Coturnix japonica: one gene and its partners. The protein of the gene in region 1 interacts with the protein of each later gene in a pairwise test. Links are inferred from orthologs where the notes say so. Each region holds a gene or a part of one and is shown in the gene's direction. Other genes may lie near its edges.

What was found.
Region 2: the proteins of WAC (region 1) and TRAF3IP1 interact in a two-hybrid assay, tested with the Homo sapiens proteins (2 studies listed by BioGRID and IntAct). The link is inferred for Coturnix japonica from reciprocal best matches to the Homo sapiens genes WAC and TRAF3IP1.
Region 3: the proteins of WAC (region 1) and DYDC1 interact in binary tests that used the Homo sapiens proteins (3 or more experiments, as listed by UniProt). The two-hybrid records come from large-scale screens. The link is inferred for Coturnix japonica from reciprocal best matches to the Homo sapiens genes WAC and DYDC1.

What each region holds. Positions count from the first base shown.
Region 1 is NC_029517.1:13,928,054-13,934,462, reverse strand, and holds the start of WAC (WW domain-containing adapter protein with coiled-coil), read left to right. Parts: upstream 1-2,445; 5' UTR 2,446-2,541; coding exon of another isoform or gene 2,542-2,558; 5' UTR 2,559-2,560; coding exon 2,561-2,601; exon of another isoform or gene 2,602-2,607; intron 2,608-2,723; coding exon 2,724-2,760; exon of another isoform or gene 2,761-2,841; intron 2,842-4,205; coding exon 4,206-4,401; intron 4,402-6,409. Other genes in the region: Sjoegren syndrome nuclear autoantigen 1 homolog, read right to left, coding at 823-1,222, 2,542-2,558.
Region 2 is NC_029522.1:3,264,995-3,270,068, reverse strand, and holds the end of TRAF3IP1 (TRAF3-interacting protein 1), read left to right. Parts: intron 1-2,034; coding exon 2,035-2,200; 3' UTR 2,201-2,917; downstream 2,918-5,074.
Region 3 is NC_029521.1:3,510,275-3,516,813, forward strand, and holds DYDC1 (DPY30 domain-containing protein 1), read left to right. Parts: upstream 1-2,227; 5' UTR 2,228-2,309; exon of another isoform or gene 2,310-2,357; intron 2,358-2,524; exon of another isoform or gene 2,525-2,527; 5' UTR 2,528-2,533; coding exon 2,534-2,680; intron 2,681-2,792; coding exon 2,793-2,915; intron 2,916-3,456; coding exon 3,457-3,528; intron 3,529-4,341; coding exon 4,342-4,632; 3' UTR 4,633-5,575; downstream 5,576-6,539. Other genes in the region: EXOSC3 (exosome complex component RRP40), read right to left, coding at 590-741, 1,686-1,835, 1,909-2,184. UniProt on the Homo sapiens protein: Functions as part of axonemal radial spoke complexes that play an important part in the motility of sperm and cilia. Plays a crucial role during acrosome biogenesis.

The sequences.
Region 1 (6,409 bases):
CCCTGCAAGGTCATGCCTCCCACTTGCACTCAAATCCATCTCTCACCATAGCATAACTCCTTTCTACTCAAGGCTTTAGAGTACAGCTTCAGAAGATACACAAACCTGACACAGTCTGTGAGGTTAATCTTTCATACCCTGCTTAAATCACATTTTCTCAAATTATTCCTCCAAAATTCCAGCTAAGTGAAAGATGATTGTCAACAGGGGCTGCACGTGGATCACGGAGAGAAGTCCAGACTCCTTAAGAAGGCTAAAAAACTAATTCCTACTTGGTCCCTAAAAGTCAAGCAACAAGTATAAGCTACTTGCATCCATTAGTTCTACAGTGCTTTTCTGTCTACACATGTAGGTAAGGGGAAAAAAAGGATATGGGAGAAAGACAGCAGGATTTCAGAGAAGCCATGAACACAGCTTTGGGTAAAAGAGCAATGGAAAAAATGCGAGCATTCTGTCCAGATTTCAAGTAACATTCTATCAAACAGCCATTCCACAGTAACCAGCCAAAATCCAGCCAATAAAACATTTTTCCTGTCTTTCAGAAGAGCCTTGAAGCATAACTATGTCCAAACTGACAGCTACATATCTGCAGTTTAGTTTTGCTGTGATTTAAGAGCAATTATGAACTTTCTTTAATAAGAAAACGGCAACTTTATTTCATCTGTTTTATCTACAGTGTTTCTAACGCATTTAAAAATTATGGGAAAGTGGAAAGGTTGGAAGAAAGGCCCCTCAGCTCATAGTGCTGTCACAGGGTGCTGTGTCTGACCGCTTCTCACCTAGTGGAATTTTAGAACTGGGAAGTGCAGACATTTAACAGCTTCAGGTTACATTACTTTTCAGTTCTGGCGGACGCTTTAAGCTTCCCACTTCCTTCTTCAGGACACTAAGCAAAGTTCTGGAACTATCCAAAATCTTCATGTAAGCAGCTTCAGTTTCAGCAAGAATTTTATCGAGCTCGTTCCGCGAAGCTACCTTCTGAGCCAGGTTTTCACACACCCCCTCCAACTGTTCATTGAGGGTTTGAATTTCATGCTGGAGTCTGCTTTTCTCCTCTTCTGCTTGCTGGATCTGTTTGTTCAGCTCCTCTTTTTGCATACACAAGTCTTCAATACACTTAACGAGCTCATTGTTGTAACCCTGAAGAACAGCTCCCTGCTGGGTCATCCTCTGCTCCTGTCTGTCCGTGAGCTTCCTGAGGTGTCCTCTCAGCTGCAGCCTTCTGCACGTTAACACAAAAACAAGAACAGAGAGAAAAACTATAGTTATAGTGTGATGCTATGTTTAAACACAGCATTGTGGGGAAAGATGTACTGCTACAGGCCAGTTCTGAGGGGGGCTTGTCACTTCCCTTTTCATTAAGGAGGCAGGACAAGATTCAGGCTCTGTATCATTGCATGGTTTGGGGCCCTTCAAGGCTATCAGTCCCAACACCATGCCGTGGGCAGAGCACCCACCCAGCAGCTCATGCTGCCCGTGGGCCCATCCAACCCAGCAGGGCTGGATCACTCCCAGCTCCTCAGGGCAGCGCTGCCCGTCCCGCTCACCCGCTCCCTCCACGCGTGAGGCGGCCCGAGCTCCGCCATCGCCTCAGGGGGAGCTGAGAGGGAAGGAGGGACGCGGCCCGGCCAGCCGCTTCCCCAGGGACATTTTAACAACCACTCCCTACCGAGCGCCTCTCGCCGAACCCAACGTACACAAAATGGCTCCTGCCTATACATCAAGGCGCCGGGCGGAAGGGGAGGGGGGAGGTGAGTGAGGGGAGACCTTCCCTTTCCTATCCCCCCCGCACCACCTCGGCTCCTTTCGCGGTCCCCCCCCATCGCCCCCACCTGCCTGCCGCTGCCGCCCCCGCTCGCTCCCCTCGGCCAATCGGCCGCGCCCCGCCAACGGCCGCGCAGGTCACGGAAATAGCCGAACGGTTCCGAAGGCGGCGTCACCCCGACGAGAGCGTGAAAGCCTCTCTACGGAAATAACCGATGTTTTCCGAAGACAGGTAGCGTTCGGGAGTGGAGGACGAGGCGGGCCGGCCGGAGGGGGGGGGAGAGCTACGGAACGAGCCGATGTTTGCCGAAGGGAGAGACTGAAGGGCGTTGGGCTCGGCGGAGACTGCCGATGTTTGCCGAAGGCAGAGTCGCCCGAGAGCAAAGGGGACAGAGGGGACGGAGCGCGTCGGAAAGAGCCGAAAAGAGCCGACGTTAACCGAGCGCGGCGTCGCCCGAGTTTCCCGGATGTAGTTGGAGGAGCGGCGACGGCGGCGGCGGGCGCAGCGGGGGGAGGAGGCGGCAGCGGCGGCAGCGACGGAGTCCGCGCTCCCGGAGCGCCTCAGCGGGGCCGAGCTGCCGGCGTCTCCCCTCAGGCTGCGCGCGGCGGAGATGGGCCCGTGAGCGCCGCTCCCAGCACAGCTGCCGAGCCGCCCCCTCCCTCCCTGCCCCCTCCCTGCCCCCGGTCGGCGGCGAGGCGGAGCGCCGCTCCCCTCCTCCCCCCTCGGCGCCCGTAGGCCCGGCCGCGGCCGTCCCTTCCTGGTCCCCTCACACTCACACACACAGGCCGGGCATTGATGGTAATGTATGCGAGGAAACAGCAGAGACTCAGTGATGGGTAAATCCCCTCCTCGGCCCCGCGGCTCTCCCCCCGCCTCCGCCATGTTTGGGCCCCTTCCCGGCGCCCGGTAACGGCCCTCACTAACGCCTCTCTCTCTCTTTCTCTCGCCTTCTCCGCAGCTGTCACGACCGCAGGGGGGACTCGCAGCCCTACCAGGTACCGCCGCGCCGGCCGCCGGGCCCGGGAGGAGGAGGAGCAGGGCAGGGAAGGTGGGGGGGGAGCTACTCCAGCCCAGGCTTCGGCCGCCGCCGCAGGCCGCGCTGCCCCGCGCGGCTCCCGCCCGGCCCGCGGTGCCTTGTAAGGCCCGAGAGGTGGGGAAGGGAACAGGCTCCGGCCCGCAGCCGGGGGAACGGAGCCGCCGCGCCGCTGCGATGGCCGGGCCGGTAGGAGAGGCCTAGCGCGGGGCCGGGGCCTAGCAGACGGGAGGTGCGAGCACAGGGGCGGGAGAGCGCGGCCGGGTCACGGGCGGAGGAGCCGAGAGCCGGGGGAAGGGGAACGTTGTCCTCCTAAAAACAAAAGGCGGCTTGTTCGCCCCCCGCCCCCCTCCCCGAGGCCCTTCTCCCCAAAACTGCTGCTGCGGGCTGTAACCTGAGCAGGGCATGATTTTAGACCCTGAACTGGGGTTGTCAGTAGGGCTTCGTCTCCACAGTTGCCAGTCTCTACAGTTGCCAGCTGCTGGGGGTGTTCAAAAACATCAGATCCTCTGGCTTTTGACAGTAACTTCAATTTAAGTATGATGAGTCCCGTAGTCTAATGCCTATGAGAAATACGAAAGAATAAAAATAAGAAAAATAAAATTATACCTTAAGGAGGGTGTGAGTCTGGGGAACGCTGTGTGTAGGGATACTGCTCTTCTTAGGGCATTTAACTAAACCATTTTATTACATTTCTGAGTGTTTCTATCACTGTGAAGTGTCATCTGATGGTCCGAGGCAGCTGTCAGTGACAGTTCATGTAATATAAAACACTTGCCACTCATGAGCTCGCTCTGCAAAATCAAGCAGATCAAAAAGAGACATAACTTGTTAGTTTTGGTAAATGTTCCAAAATGAATTGTCACATTATGTTCTGCCCTCTTAAATACCCCCCCAAATTCTAGATTTTTATTGTATCTGTTATGGGCTTGCTAGTACTGAAGTCTATCTGCAGAAGCTTAACGTTGATGCAAAAGGAAGTGGCCTCCATTACAGTATGGATATTTACAGTTCACTCTGTTTCAATATAACTGTCTCTTTATTTCTTTAGTACCAGCTGCACTTGTGCTTGTTTTGAGTGTCAGAGGTTTTGTGCCCCACTTACCGTTTAAAGTATGCAGTCCTTCACTGAGAAAATAGGAAGAAATTAGGCTTATCTTAACAGCAAATGTTATGTTGGATGTCGTGGTGAGAGCAAATGGTTTCAGTCCTAATTACAGAACTTGTTGCTCTAATGTAGGTAATTAAAACTAAGAGGATGAATAGTGGTTATTTAAATGGGAAATAAAAATTAATTACTTCAAAAAGTGTTTTAGAAGAAAGATCTGAAATTTATGACTGATGTTAAAATGTTCTTTCTGTATCTATATCTGATGAAAATGCCTGTTTTCTTGTGATCTTTTTCAGGCTCTTAAGTACTCATCCAAGAGTCACCCAAGTGGTGGTGATCATCGTCATGACAAGATGCGAGACACCACAGATCCTTCACCACCAAATAAAATGTTGCGGCGCTCTGATAGCCCTGAAAACAAATACAGTGACAACACAGGGCACAGTAAAGCAAAAAGTGTGCATACTCACAGAGTTAGAGAGAGGGATGGTGGTGAGTTGTCTTTAATTAACCTTTCTTTAAGCGATTACTGTTTCCTCATAAAATTAAACAGTTGTCACTCAGGTGAAGGGAGCATTGCGTTGAGCGATGTTCTTTGATGCTCGGAAGACTGCTGTGAAACCAAAAGCCATGTTTGCTTGGAAGCAGGCATTGTAACACCTGTTAGCTGTCTTATTTTTACAGGTATGAGAGTTCTGCATACTGCAACGTTCAATAAGATAAAACCATATTCTAGAGTTCTAGAGATTGACAATCTTAAAGGTTTAAGTTGCTATTTTAGTAAAAATAATTTAGTATTTCTGTAATGTAGGTATGTGCTTCCTGGGCTACACTCTGAGAATGATAAAAAATAGCTTTAGATCTGGTTGCTGTAAACTAACAATGTTAAAATCAAAGATAGCACTTAGTACAATATCTCCTGGCAGAAGCTTAGTCAGGTAGCCTCCTATCTTTTTACAGTGTAATTCAGATGATAATAGTGTGCTCAGAAGTTTTAAGCTGGTGTTATTTTCTATTTCTACCTCCTAAAAACGCCTAAGAGTAGAGTTTTCCTTTTGGTAAAGGAGAGTAACAGCTGGAGGTTTAAAAAGTTTGTTACTGGGTTTGGAAGTCTGTTTTGTAAGTATTCTATTTGTTCTTTGTATTGGGTTATAAAGTATTCAGGGACAGAACTTGAGACAAAGAAGCACCAGGAAAAGTTCTCTATAAAGTAAACAGCCTGGGATGTACAGGTGTATTTATCACTGCAGTATTGTTACTTATTAAAGTAACAAATATAATATCTTTGTGTCCTTTAGAACATATTAGTTCCATACCGCGTGTACATTTATGGTGCTCAACTGTTCTCAACAGTTCTTACATTTTCCCACTTTTGGGGATTAACAGTAGACCACTGATACTGAGATATTACTTAGTAGAAGGTTTGCATAGACTTGCAGCATTTCTTAGTACATTGGTTTTCATTGTATTTGCTCATACTTGAAAGCACAGTAATCTCAGGATGAAATGCACATGCAAGACTGGTAGACTGCTATCACACATTACTTTCCAAGACACAAAAGTGCCTTCTCTTCCTTTTTTACCTGTCCAAAGGTACTTGTCCTAAATCCTCCTTTAATTCTGTGTTCGGTGGTAACCGATTTCAGTGAAGCTACATTTAGTGGAGTTATGCATATATGACACTGTTTGGAGGTTGAGCCTCTGTGGGGAGCATATTTGCTTATTTTAGCACTAAAATTGTTTTTGAGGGTAGAGAACAGATTCTAAAGCTCTCACTGAGTCTGGACTGAATAGTTGGTGAGTGATCTGAGGTGTGGATGTAGATAGTAATGATGGAAAAGGAATTATTGGTAGCTTTGTAAGTGTAAAGAACACTGTCCCACTGCTGTTAATAGAGTGAAAAATGTCCTTTATTCTATCTGAAAGTGGTCTTGTCTAAATTATATATCAGTGGGCTGGGAGAAGGAGGTTGTATTAAATAGTTTGAGGGAAGTTACAGCCTTTGAAAGAGCATCTATGTTATTCTATTTAAAAGAAGAAATGGTTTTTCTTGTCTGTTCTTCATAAGTTCAGTTTGGTGCCAGTTTCAATGTTCTAACACACACTCAAAACAACCCAAGTTAAGTACTGTGTATTGCTGAACCAAAGCTAGCCAGATGGGAGCTAGGAGAATGCCAGCTTTGTCTTCCAGAGCAACTCCTTGCAAGTTTGAAGTTGTTGCATCTTATTCTCTATGTCCCACTAAGATGTACCAGATCTTTCTGTCAGTGTAAATTAAAGGTAGGTGTTAGAATGTAGGTGAATATGGACATGTTGCTGATGCCCAAAAGACACAGTCTGATAGTTTGTAGTGTTCTCTGTCAAATTACTCTGAGGTACTGTTTTGCTTTGTAGTATTCCCTCAGTTTTGCAGGTACAGATGTACCTTGGGGGGAATAAGAAAAACCTTGCTGTGGTTAAATGGGTAGATGGCAAGCAAAAGTTTTCATCACTGTTGTCC
Region 2 (5,074 bases), on another chromosome or scaffold:
TAAAATCTTTCCAGCTAACGTCACCTGAGGTACATGGCAGCAGCTATGTGAATGCTAAGGTGAAATGAAAAGGTGTAGTGCTTTGCTTTGTTTTCTTATCACAAATACATCTGGAGCAACGGAGGAGCAGGTTAGTAGGCCTGGTGGGTTCTGAATCCTTAAATCACAAACTGCTTTCTGTATGCTGCTGAAATCTGCGTGTTCTGCAGCAGTGTCAGTAAGTTGTTGTCTGTGCATGGTTTGAAACCAACAGCAGAAAGCCAGGAGAGCAAAGGTAACACATCCAAGGAGGTCATGCCTAGGAAGGGGTGCTTCAGCTTTACTTTCCTCAGTAGTATATCTTTTTATTCTCCTTGCAAACAGAACTACCGTCCCAATTCCATGTAATCTGATCTTAAAAATGATCTCAGATATTGAAGATTGATTTCGTCATCATGGATTCCAATGTAGATAACTGCTGTTGAACCGATACTTTTATTTCCTGCAGAAGCAACCATGCCACTGAGTGGTATCCTTAGCTAAGTTTTATCTGGATAGGTAGCGATTTGTTAAATGTTGGAAGTTTTACAGCTGCTGGCTTAGTGGGGCTGGGGTAGGAATTAGGTTCACATATAAAGCCTAATGATGTCAATTCCTTGCTCTTACACAACACCTTCTTAAGCTGTGGTTGCCTTAGGATGTAGGACCGCTGCAAAGAGAAAGGAAATGGCATTGGGTTTTATTTTACAGCTGTAGAAACTGAGGCACTGACCTGCTTGCCTGTGCCCAGACAGCTTGAACCAGCCCTGGTGACAGGGAGCAAACCAGCATCACTTTAGCAGAGCCATTCAGCTCCCTTTCACGAGCTTGGACTGCTGCAGCATATCACAGCACTTTGCAGGGATTGCAGTGAGATCCTCATCAGTTCAGTGTAGTGCTACAGCCTGTCAGATCCTTCAGGGAAGAATTACGCAGTATCTGACATGAAGAAGAGAGTGCTTCCCATATGTAGTGGAATTTGGATGCACCTTTGTTGGCTGTTTTTTCTTCTGTGAAAGACAATTGAAGAATCCCATTAGGGAAATGTTAGTAGAATTTCTAGTGATATTTTTTGTGATTTATGTCAATGGAGTAGAAAGGAGGGGAAAGCTAAGTAATTATGAGATGCTGACTTCAGCTGATTACCCAGTCCTCACAGTGACTGGATAATTCAGAATGACAGCAGACTAGTTCTGCCCATCAACTCCCTGGCTGCGAAGCACTGTGGAAAGGGGCACACTGGTTTTAAAGCCAAACAGTCCCATTCCCTTCAGGTATATCAGTGGTTTCATTAGCATCTAATTCCTGTTTATTAAATTTCCTGTTATTGTGGGATTGCCTGCCCTTGTCAGCAGCTACTGAGGGCCAGTTTTCTTGTACCTTGCCCCTTATCAGATGTCTACTTGGTGCTTGCTGTGGCTTGGTGCTGCTGGCAGGCAGTGCTGTGCTGCTGGCTCATTGTAGGAAACAGCTGGTAGCAGGCCATCAACCTCCACAGCAATTGTACTTGCTCCTCTGCACTGTGCTTCCCTCCTCTTTAAATGCCTATTGCAAGGCCTGGAGGGATGGCTGTTGCCATGTGCATCATGATAAGATACAGAGACCCCAGTAAAAAGTGGGTGTTGTTCTTATGCTCTATCCTACACAGTCAAGTCCCTCTTTGTCCCTGAGCCAGGCAGTTGGAGCTCTTGGCTGGTAAGTAAAAGAAGTGCTTGGTGCTCACTCATGATGGGGCAGAATAACTGCATAGCACAGAGATTTTAACAGAAAAACTAGATTAGACAAGATTACTGCTTGCTGTTGAATTGTGTGTGGGGGGGGTGTTCCTAAACAGTGTTCCTCTCTGTGTTGCTGGCTTTGCCTTTGTGCTTCTCATCCTAAACTTTCTTTCAGGAAGGATGAGCGCAACTTAAATTCTTTGCAAACTTTGAAGCATTGAATGTATGTTCTTGGAGGCTAAAGTAACCTGAAGCAGCATAACGTTTCCAGTAACACAACACTTTGCATCTCTTTCAGCATCATTGACGGTGCTGTAGAACCACTAAAAGCTGAACTGGCTGAGCTGGACCAGCTGATTGAAGACCAGCAAGACAAGATCCGTGCTGTTAAAGCTAATATTTTAAAGAATGAAGACAAAATCCGGAGGATGGTTCTTAGCATAAACTTGTCTTCAAGAAGGTGAAGAAGGGAGGATAAAAAAACAACCCTTGGGACTGATAGACTGATATTCCTACCAATTAAAAACTGAAATAGTGGAGAAAAGTAAAGATATGCCTTGTTGGGATGCACTGTGGTTAGGGACCAGGAGAGTTATATAAAATACCATTGATCTTTAGATGTTGATATTACTGTGGATAAAATTATGTCCATTTGAATGCTCAAAGTGCTGAGCTATTAAATTAATTTGTTTGTTTAAATGTGAACTGCTGGTATTCACTTGCCAGGTCTTCCCTGCCCTCTGTCCCTCCACAGCCTGTTGAGCACCGTTTGTGAGCCAGTTCTCTATTCAGTCTCCTTCATCCCTTCGTGACCACCGAGGTTGCTTGTCCACATGCTGTCATGAGCAGGTCAGGGCATTCCTGAGCCTTGCAAGGAAAGCTACAAAAGAATGCCACGAAACCAAGTAAAGCCTTGTGTAATGTGCAGCTCCTTGCATCATTAAGGAGATGATGTCATGTTTTCACAGCTATCAGGAATCTTATTAGGAAGGACTGAAAATGCAATACAAGCATCCACCGTGTAAGGGAGCAGAAGTACTTTATCTGCACAGGTGTTAATCCCATTTTTATTGCGTATGTTCATTTGGAACGGATTAATTTAAGTACCTGTTTCCTCCCAAATGCCTGTTCCTGTTCCTGCAACTTTTTGTACGTGAATAATTCCACTGATTTTTATTTAACTGCAGATGTCTGTGCTGTTTTTCTAATGACCTCTTGTTTGCAGCGCACGTCAGTGTCCAGCTTTACTTATTCCTAAATCTGTTAGCATGGACACAACTGCATGATGCTGCCCTGAGCACAGGATGCTTTGGTCCTCTGCAAGGCTGTTCTCTTAAGACTTTTACAGTATGTGAGTACATCCAAAAAATCTACCAAAAGGATAATCACCAAATAACGTGAGTATTTAATACGCAGATATGAACATTTTAAAGGGTTTTATGTGTTTGTTTAAATAAAATAGTGGGGAGGGTTTTATTTTCCTTCCTGGGTAGTCAACTGTGGTTTCACCTAGAAGTAGTTTGCCCCACAACTTGGACTGTGACAGGAATCCAGTGGTTTGTGGATGTAAAGTGACTCATTTTCTAAGCTCAAAGTAATCAACAGTACACTGCATTTAGGAGTTGCATCCTAGCTTTGGTCCCTGTAAGGGCAGGATGCATTGCTGTATGGGGTTTTGGTCAGGTTGGAGAGCAAGCAGGGAACTGTAACAGAGAAAGCGAAGTGTTGGATCTCTTCTGAACAGTACATAACTGTGCTCTGTGCTTTTGAATTGTCATCTTGAGTTTTTATTTGGCGAGGCAGTATCTCTACAGGAAAGAAGGGGATAGAGTCTTTAGCAGGGTCTGTGGTGGTAGAACAAGGGGAAATGGTTTCAAGCTCAAAGAGAGGAGATTGAGGTTAGATATAAGGAAAAATGTTTTACATTGAGGGTGGTGAGGCACTGGAACAGGCTGCCCAATGTTATGGTTGATGCCCTGACTCCATGCAGGATAACGTTGCTTTAGCAGTGCTGGGAACACAGGGATGTGACCAGGCTGTGTCCAGCCCTAACAGCCTTAGCATGGAGAATTTCTTGTCCACCGATGACTTCCAGTTCTGAGGTTTGTGCTTTATAACTCAAATATCTGTGTCTCGTGAAGAGGAAGGGAGACTGTGAGAATAGATATGGATGAGTGTCTGCACAGCTGCCTGTGACTTGCACATGCTACACTGCCTTTGCCTTGAGCTTGCCTTTCAGCTATGGGTAGTTCATTAGCAAAGGAGACTTTGCTAATGCAGTGGTTTGGGGTTTCAAACCCTTACATTGTCAGGCCCCTTTGGAGCTAATGGAGCCTGACAGGTCTGGGAAGCAGGACTTGCATTTCATGACATGCCTGACATTCCTCTCTCGTGTGGGTCAGGAGGTGGCCGCCAACCCCTCTGGTTTAGGGCTGGGGAGTGTTTCTCAGCCAGAAAGGTTCAGCTGTTGGCTGGGACCCTACTGGAAGGCTGCAGTGAGATCTTCTCCAGGCTGAACAATCCCAGATCCCTCAGCAGAGGTGCTCCAACCCTCTCATCATCCTCGTGGCCCTCCTTTGGACCTACTCCATATTCATAGGTGCTCTGCAGGAGGGGTTCCTGGTATCAGAACTTACATGTGATTTGTCTCACCCACTCACAAATTAGGAATCCTCCAGTCTTCAAGTTTGCACTTGTGCTACAAGAACAGATCTCTTCCATGCAGTAAAGGCCCTCTGGTTTCTCACTCAGCATATGAAGGAAGATGCTCTGGTTTGTAGACTTTGCACACTCCATTTGCCCCAGAATGTCAGTCCTTGCTGGCACTCTCTTAGTGCAGTTTCTCTAACTCAACCTTGGGGGCAGAATTCAGTCTAGTTTTGGCCCCATTGGCACACTCTCCTGCTTGATGTGTAATTAAGTTTTGCAAATGAGTGGCTCTTGCCAGATCTGGCACTCAAGTGCTTGTGTTTCAGGCTTGGTGGTTTAACTATTTCTAAACCTGAGCTTCAGGCTGCCTGCTGACTCAGGGAGACAGTGCTACCACTGTTCACATCTCATTATCCTCACCACCATGGGAAGAAGGAACACCAGCGGTATTGTTGTTCAGCTTGTAAGACTGGAATTCCTGCTCACACGTGTAATGCAGGACATCCCATCTCCAATGGAGCTGTGGAGCACACGATCCACAAGTCAGATTCGGATTTTTCTCCACTGACTTGCTTGCCTGATCTTGCTATAGCTACCACTGGTCTGGCTCAGCAGTGCTGTGCTGCTGGAGATCTGAAGACCAGATGGAAACTCCTTTTGGCACAGAGAATTGTGCTTGTTAAGCCAGG
Region 3 (6,539 bases), on another chromosome or scaffold:
CTGTTCTGGTTTTAGGAGAAAAACAATGATAATACACCTGTATTTCCAGCTGTTGCTGAACACTGCTGTACAGAGCCAAGCATACTTCATTTTTCCCCACTCTCTCTTACCATCCTACCAACTGGGGGATGGGGAACTAACAAGGATCTCGGAAGCACAGGGCAGGGCACCCAAGCAGCTGGGAAGGGATAGAAATAAGACAGCTGACTTTAAGTGGCCAAAGGGATATTCCATACCATATAACATTACGCAAAAGGAAAGTTTTGAATGGGACATGAGTCCTTTTTTCTCTCTCTCCTGCTGCTTGGGGCCTAGCTGGGCATCAGTCAGTGGGTAACTTCCTATATACATTCACATATATGTATTTCTCTTAAGTAGTATCTTGTTTTCTTTTCTCTTTGTAAACAGTTTTATCTCAACCCATGAATTCTACTTTGTGTCTGTTTTTTAATCGATTCTATTCCCAAGCCTATAGGGAAAAGCAGGACAGGGTCTGGAGGGAGAGGAGCTAATGACTGTGTGTTGTTTAGACACATGCTAAGTTTAACAACCCCAACACTTTAGTACAACTGGTTTTCTTAGTACTTACTTTCTTATCAGACCTAAGGAAACTTTAAAGAGGAAGCCGTCTTGTCCAATTACTCCCATTCCACTTGCTCTTCCACTGCTGTCTATACAGACCATCTCTGGTTCCATGTCTTTATTTGCTACAAGGAACTGACCATAAACAAGGTCTCCCACCTAAAGCAAGCAGTGCCAGAAAACAACAAAAAAAAAGAATCATTAGAGAAGATAACAATGCACATTTGTAAGAAACATTCAGTCCATAAAGAGACAACAAAACAGTTGTAAACTGGATGAACACTTGGACAAGAACCAGCAGCGTACACTTGCAGCTCAGAAGGCCAATGGGATCCCAGGCTGGATCCAAAGAAAGATAGCTAGAAGGGTGAATGAGGTAACTGACCCCTTTATTCTGCCATTGTGAGGCCCCACCTGGGGTACTCTGTCCAAGCCTGTGGCCCCTGACACAAGACCATTGGAATGGGTCAGAAGAGGGCCGGAGCGCCTCTTGTGTGAAGAAAAGTTGAGAGAGTTAGGCTTGTTGAGCCTGGAAAAGGCTCTGGATAGACCCCATCGAAGCCTTCCAGTGCTTATAGGGAGTGACTTTTTATATAGCCTAGTAGTGACAGGACAAGGGGGAATGGCTTTGAATTAACAGAGGGGAGATAAAGGTTACATGTTAGGAAACAATTCTTTACTCAGAAGGCGCACCAGAAGCCATACCAGTCTATTCCATTTAAAATCACAGCCCATTTTACACCATGCTGACAGTGTTTCTGGTGAACGCACATATCACAAAACAACTTGTAAATGCTACAAAGCAAACCCTCCTCTACCAGCACCAGCGTTCAGAGGATGCTTTAAAGCCTCAGGGTGGCCCCTTGGGACCCACGTTACTGCACGAGTAGCACCTGCCACTGTTAACCGATGGGAAAGGTGTAAGGTCAGAAGTGAAGAAGCACAAAAAGCTCCGGAGAAAACAGAAAAAACTCACGGCCTCATCGGGACACCCCGTACAGGCCATGACAAAAGCTCTGTGAAAAAAGTCACGTTCCTCGTTTATATGGTCCGAGTGGTAAAAACACCGTTTACAAAGGCAAGCTCCCGGCGGGCAGCGTTACCTGCACGTTGGGCCTGTTCCTCTTGGTCGCGCCCTCGAAGGCCAGGTATGACAGCGAGGCCTGCTCGCTACCACCGACGTCCAGCCGGAACACGTCCCCCACCTTGCCCGTCACGATGCCGATAACGTGGTCTCCCTTCACCGGCACGTACTACAAGCGGGTACAAGCGATCAGCGGGCTCGTCCCGCACATCACCGCCCCCCGCCGCCCGCTGCCGCCGTACCCGCTTCTGCTGCGAGTCCACCCAGTAGGCGCCGCCCGCCGCCGCTCCGCCGCCCGCCTGCCGGTGCCGCAGCAGCCCGCACTTGGTGACCAGCAGCCCGCCCGCACAGCGCCGCAGCCCCGGCCCGCACAGCAGCCTCCCCCGCGGGGCCGCGCTGGTGCCCAGCGGCAGCTTGTCGAGGTCGGGCTCTCCGTGCTCGGGCAGCAGCAGCACATCGCCGGGCAGCACCACTTGTCCCACACGGGTCTCCGCCGGCACGCCGCCCCCACCCGCCATCGCGTGCGGCCCTTCCGGCGGAAGCAGACGCAAAATGGCGGCGGCGATGGAAGGGCCGAGAGCGCAACGACAGCGACACCGCCCGGCCGCCTGACGCAGGATCCAGCCGGGAGCGCGGTTGCCCGGTAACGCGGTTGGACGCGCTGTGCGATCGGGCCGGTAGGAGCGAAGCGGTAGGGAACGGGGGACAGCACCGCTACCACCTTCTCATATTAATTGCCTGATGAAATGAGCTTTGATAAAACCACCAACATCACACTGGGGATGTGATGCAGTCAACACTTCCTCTAACTGCTGTCTGAATTCCGATATCGGTGACTAATATCTGTCGGTTTGTCAGTAGGTGAGAATGGAGTCTCAATACCTGAGGAGATGTCTGGGAAGCTGCTTGAAAAAGGGTCTGGCGGAGGTTGTGGAGCGTCGGCCCGCTGACCCAATAGAGTACCTGGCACACTGGATCTACAACTACAAGAAAACACTAGAAGAAGAAAAGAAGGTGGGTCTACCTCGGGCAAAGCATTTCATGTCAATCTAACTGATGCTGTATAATCTCTCTTTGTGTTTTGTTTCCTTTTTTTTTCATTGATTTCTTGTTACCTCTGAAATAGAGAACGTTGGAAAGGGCCAAACTGGAAAAAGAACGGCAGGCAGCCCTGGAAGAACTTGAAATGTTAAGAAAAATGAAGGAAGAAGAGCTACTGATACAACAGAAACTTGAAGAACAACGGCAGGTTAATAGTTGTTCATAATTATAGTAGCGTGTGATGCTGGGTCAACTTGTAGCTCTCACTACAATAGTAGTCATTATCAACATAGAATCATAAGAGAATCAGAATGTTGGAAAGTACCTACAATTGTATTCTGATCTTGAAAGGGAAAAGATAACAAAAAGTGCTTAAACATTGCGTTTTGAAAATATCATTATTTCGAAAGGAATTAGAAAGGACAGCTGAGCAGCTGGGGAGAAAAACTTACCTGCTACATGACAAGATGTTACCAAAAATGAAGAGACTAAGCTAAAGAGAAACTAACTAAAGATATGTTAGAAAATTAGATTAGGATAAGTAGACTGTCTTCTGCAGTTAACTATCTTAGCTATTTTTTCCTCCCATAGAATCTATATGGATTAGTCTGTCTATAATAGATGCTGTGCAAAGCTTCAAAGAGCCTAATCCAAAGTATAGGAGATATAAATATTAACTACTAAAGAGCACGAGGAACTGAGTATCAAAAGCATATACGCTATCTTCAGCTGTCTTCTCTTTACAATAGGAACAAGAACGTGAGAAGATGGAACAGCAGAATAAAGAAGAGAACATGCAGGAGCAGCAGAAAGATCCAGAGGTTTAAGCCAAAGCTTAGTCAAGATAAAGAAATATTGTTAATCATCTCTCTTATTCAGATCCAGTCCCTAAATACAGAACACAAGGCAGAAGCCTTGAACACAACAAAACAGAAAGCTAACATTAGGGAAGAACGTTTAATGCTTCTTTCCAGCTTAGGTTTTAGACTTGAATTCTCATCTGTTCTATTGGGTTTCTTTAGCTTTTATTCAGAACAGAGCATAAAGTTATTATAAAATGTAGCTTAAGTTCAGATTTTTTTTTAATTAATAAAATACTAGAACTTGAACGTGTCTAACATGAATGCTTAGATAGTTACATTTTACTGCCTGGCAACGTGAAGCCCATTTGCCACACCTGGAAAAGGAACCAACACTTGGAGGTGGGATGCCTCTTGATTTTTTGGTCTTCCATATAAATACATAGTCATATGATGCTGTTTTGGTAAAACAGATTGATCATTGACACTTAGACGTGAAACATTTCCTAACTTTACTTGGAGCAGAATAGAGATATTTTTAGAGCACTGTGTTGAGATATTGATAGCACATAGCTAGAAGAATGACTGTAAATGTAACAGAAGTATGCACGTTTATAAACTGAAGCAAAAAAGAACCCTGAAACCTTTGTAAAAACAGTCTTTACATGCACAAAGACCCCATTTGCACACTAACACATTTGTGTAGCAAGCATCTGAAGTATTGTCTTTACATTCATACTTAAACTACATTTTCAAAGCATGTTCAAAGTATCCACTGTAGACGATTGCTCATGACACGGAATACTTCTAATTGAAAATGAATTTCCACTACAGGAAGATGAGAAGACAATAGCTGAACTTACAGATAGAGCAGGAGCACCTAATTTGCCCACAGTTGAGGAAGTAGATGAGAGTGGAGTGTCTGAGGTAAGTGTTTGGAAAGAAAAAGGTTACATGGAATTAATGCTCAAACATTTTCTTGCTGACAAATGGAAGACTAAGACTGTTCTAGTTAACCCTATACCGGTTCTTTACTACAATCTGAAGGGATATTATTTGGGCCACAGTCTTCATGCTGTCCTTAGGCTGTACATTCTGAAAGGCTGCTTATGTGGTGCTGAGTGAATAAAGTGCCAAAGATTTAAAATGCCCCTTTATAGTCATGTGTGTTATGAATGGATGTATTAATATTCTCAGACAAGAAGCAGCCTTCCTTCGCCTTTTGAGCAGGTGTCAAACAGGACACAGACTCAATCACAAACACTGTCTTGCTTCTGAATGAAATGACTTACATTATTCTGATTGGTCTGAAGTACATTGTTCATGCAGCAGAACGCAGAGATATCTGAACAATTATTTAATGTAAAAGACCAGGTACCAAGCGCACAGTGCTCAGTGCAGCAAAGACCTGCTAAGAATCAGGTTATCCAAACCCTGTGCCAGCATGACAGTACTTATTCCAAAACTACAACTATCAATCTAAATTGTGATATGCAGCCATCTTCTACACCCCTATTTTTTTATTCACTTTGTGCTTGACAATCCTAGTACATGAGAGGGTATAAATCAACTGTCATTGACTGTAAAGCATGGCAGTACATTAAACAGATGATGCTGCTTTATGCACATCACTGGAGATAAATATCAGTGTGTTTAGCTTTTTTCAGCTATGATATTCTAGGTAGTGTGACTTGGAATTTGGCTGGACTGGTTTTAGTACTGAAGCTGAGCCCTTTTTCCTTTGTTAGCCTCAGTCATTTGCTCACTTGTTTTCTGATACTGGTAGTATAATCCCAGCTCAGAACTGAAATTTGTGGTATTAGCACACTTTTGCTTTAGTAACAACCTGTTTTATAAAAGCCCTGCAAATACATTTGTGAATGTATTTATGACTAGGGCAAAGTTTCCTCAATTATTTGGATTTTGCCAAGTGGTAAATGTGACAGGATCTCAAGGCCTTGCTTAGTCCTGTTTTTTATTATCATTTTCTGGCAACCGAGTATTAAAAGCCATATATGAGGCTCTGGGTGTATTTTACACATCCTTAATGAAATGAATTGCAAAACCAGAAGTGCAAATGAATCAAAGTGTGCCCCGGTGGCGCAGTGGTAGGAATGCCGCCTTGCAACATCAGGGCCCGGGGTTCGAATCCCCCCTGTGGCGCAAGTGGTAGAAGTGCCGCTCTGCAGCACAGAGGCTCGAATCCCGGGAGTTGGACTCGATGATCTCTAAGGTCCCTTCCAACCCACACGAGACTATTACTATTACTATTGAACCATAGAATGGCTTGAGTTGGAAGGAACCTTAAAACTAGTTTAAACAACCCTGCCACAGGTGTAGTACTGCAGATTACGCCTACAAGGGCAGAGTAGAGGGGGACAGTAATCTCCTCCACCCTCATTCCTCTTTCAAGCAGCTCATGACACATTTGGCCTTCTGATCAGCAAACAGACTGGTCCCAAGATGAACCTCTGGGGTCCTCCACTTGTACAGAGAACGGTCAACCACAATCTTCTGCCGGTGGCCAGCTGACCAAATCCTTATCCACTGAACAGTCCACTGATCCATTTCATATCTTTCCCATTTAGAGACAGGAATGTGATGTAGGACCATATCAAAGGCCTTGCAGCAGTCCAGGTGTATGACGTATCTATTACCTTTCCTTTATCCGCTTGTCATAGAAGGCCACCAGACGGGTGAGGCACAATCTGCCCCTGGTGAAGTCACGCTGACTGTCTCAAATTACCTTCACGTATGTCTTCCACATCACCCACAAAGATTTCATGCCTAACGTTGTTTAAAGTTGGATTACATAAACCCTTTCATGATGTCATCGCAGGTTTTGCAGTGCTACAATTTTCATATGAAATCACAAATTAAGATCAATAAAAAGAAACTATAATCACCTTTAGCATTGAAACTATTCTGTTCTCGGAGTCATATCACATCATCCAAACTTACTGGATCTTAGATCAAGTCTGCTGATAAAACTTTGTCATATTTAACTGAATGGAAGGATACATATTTCTATT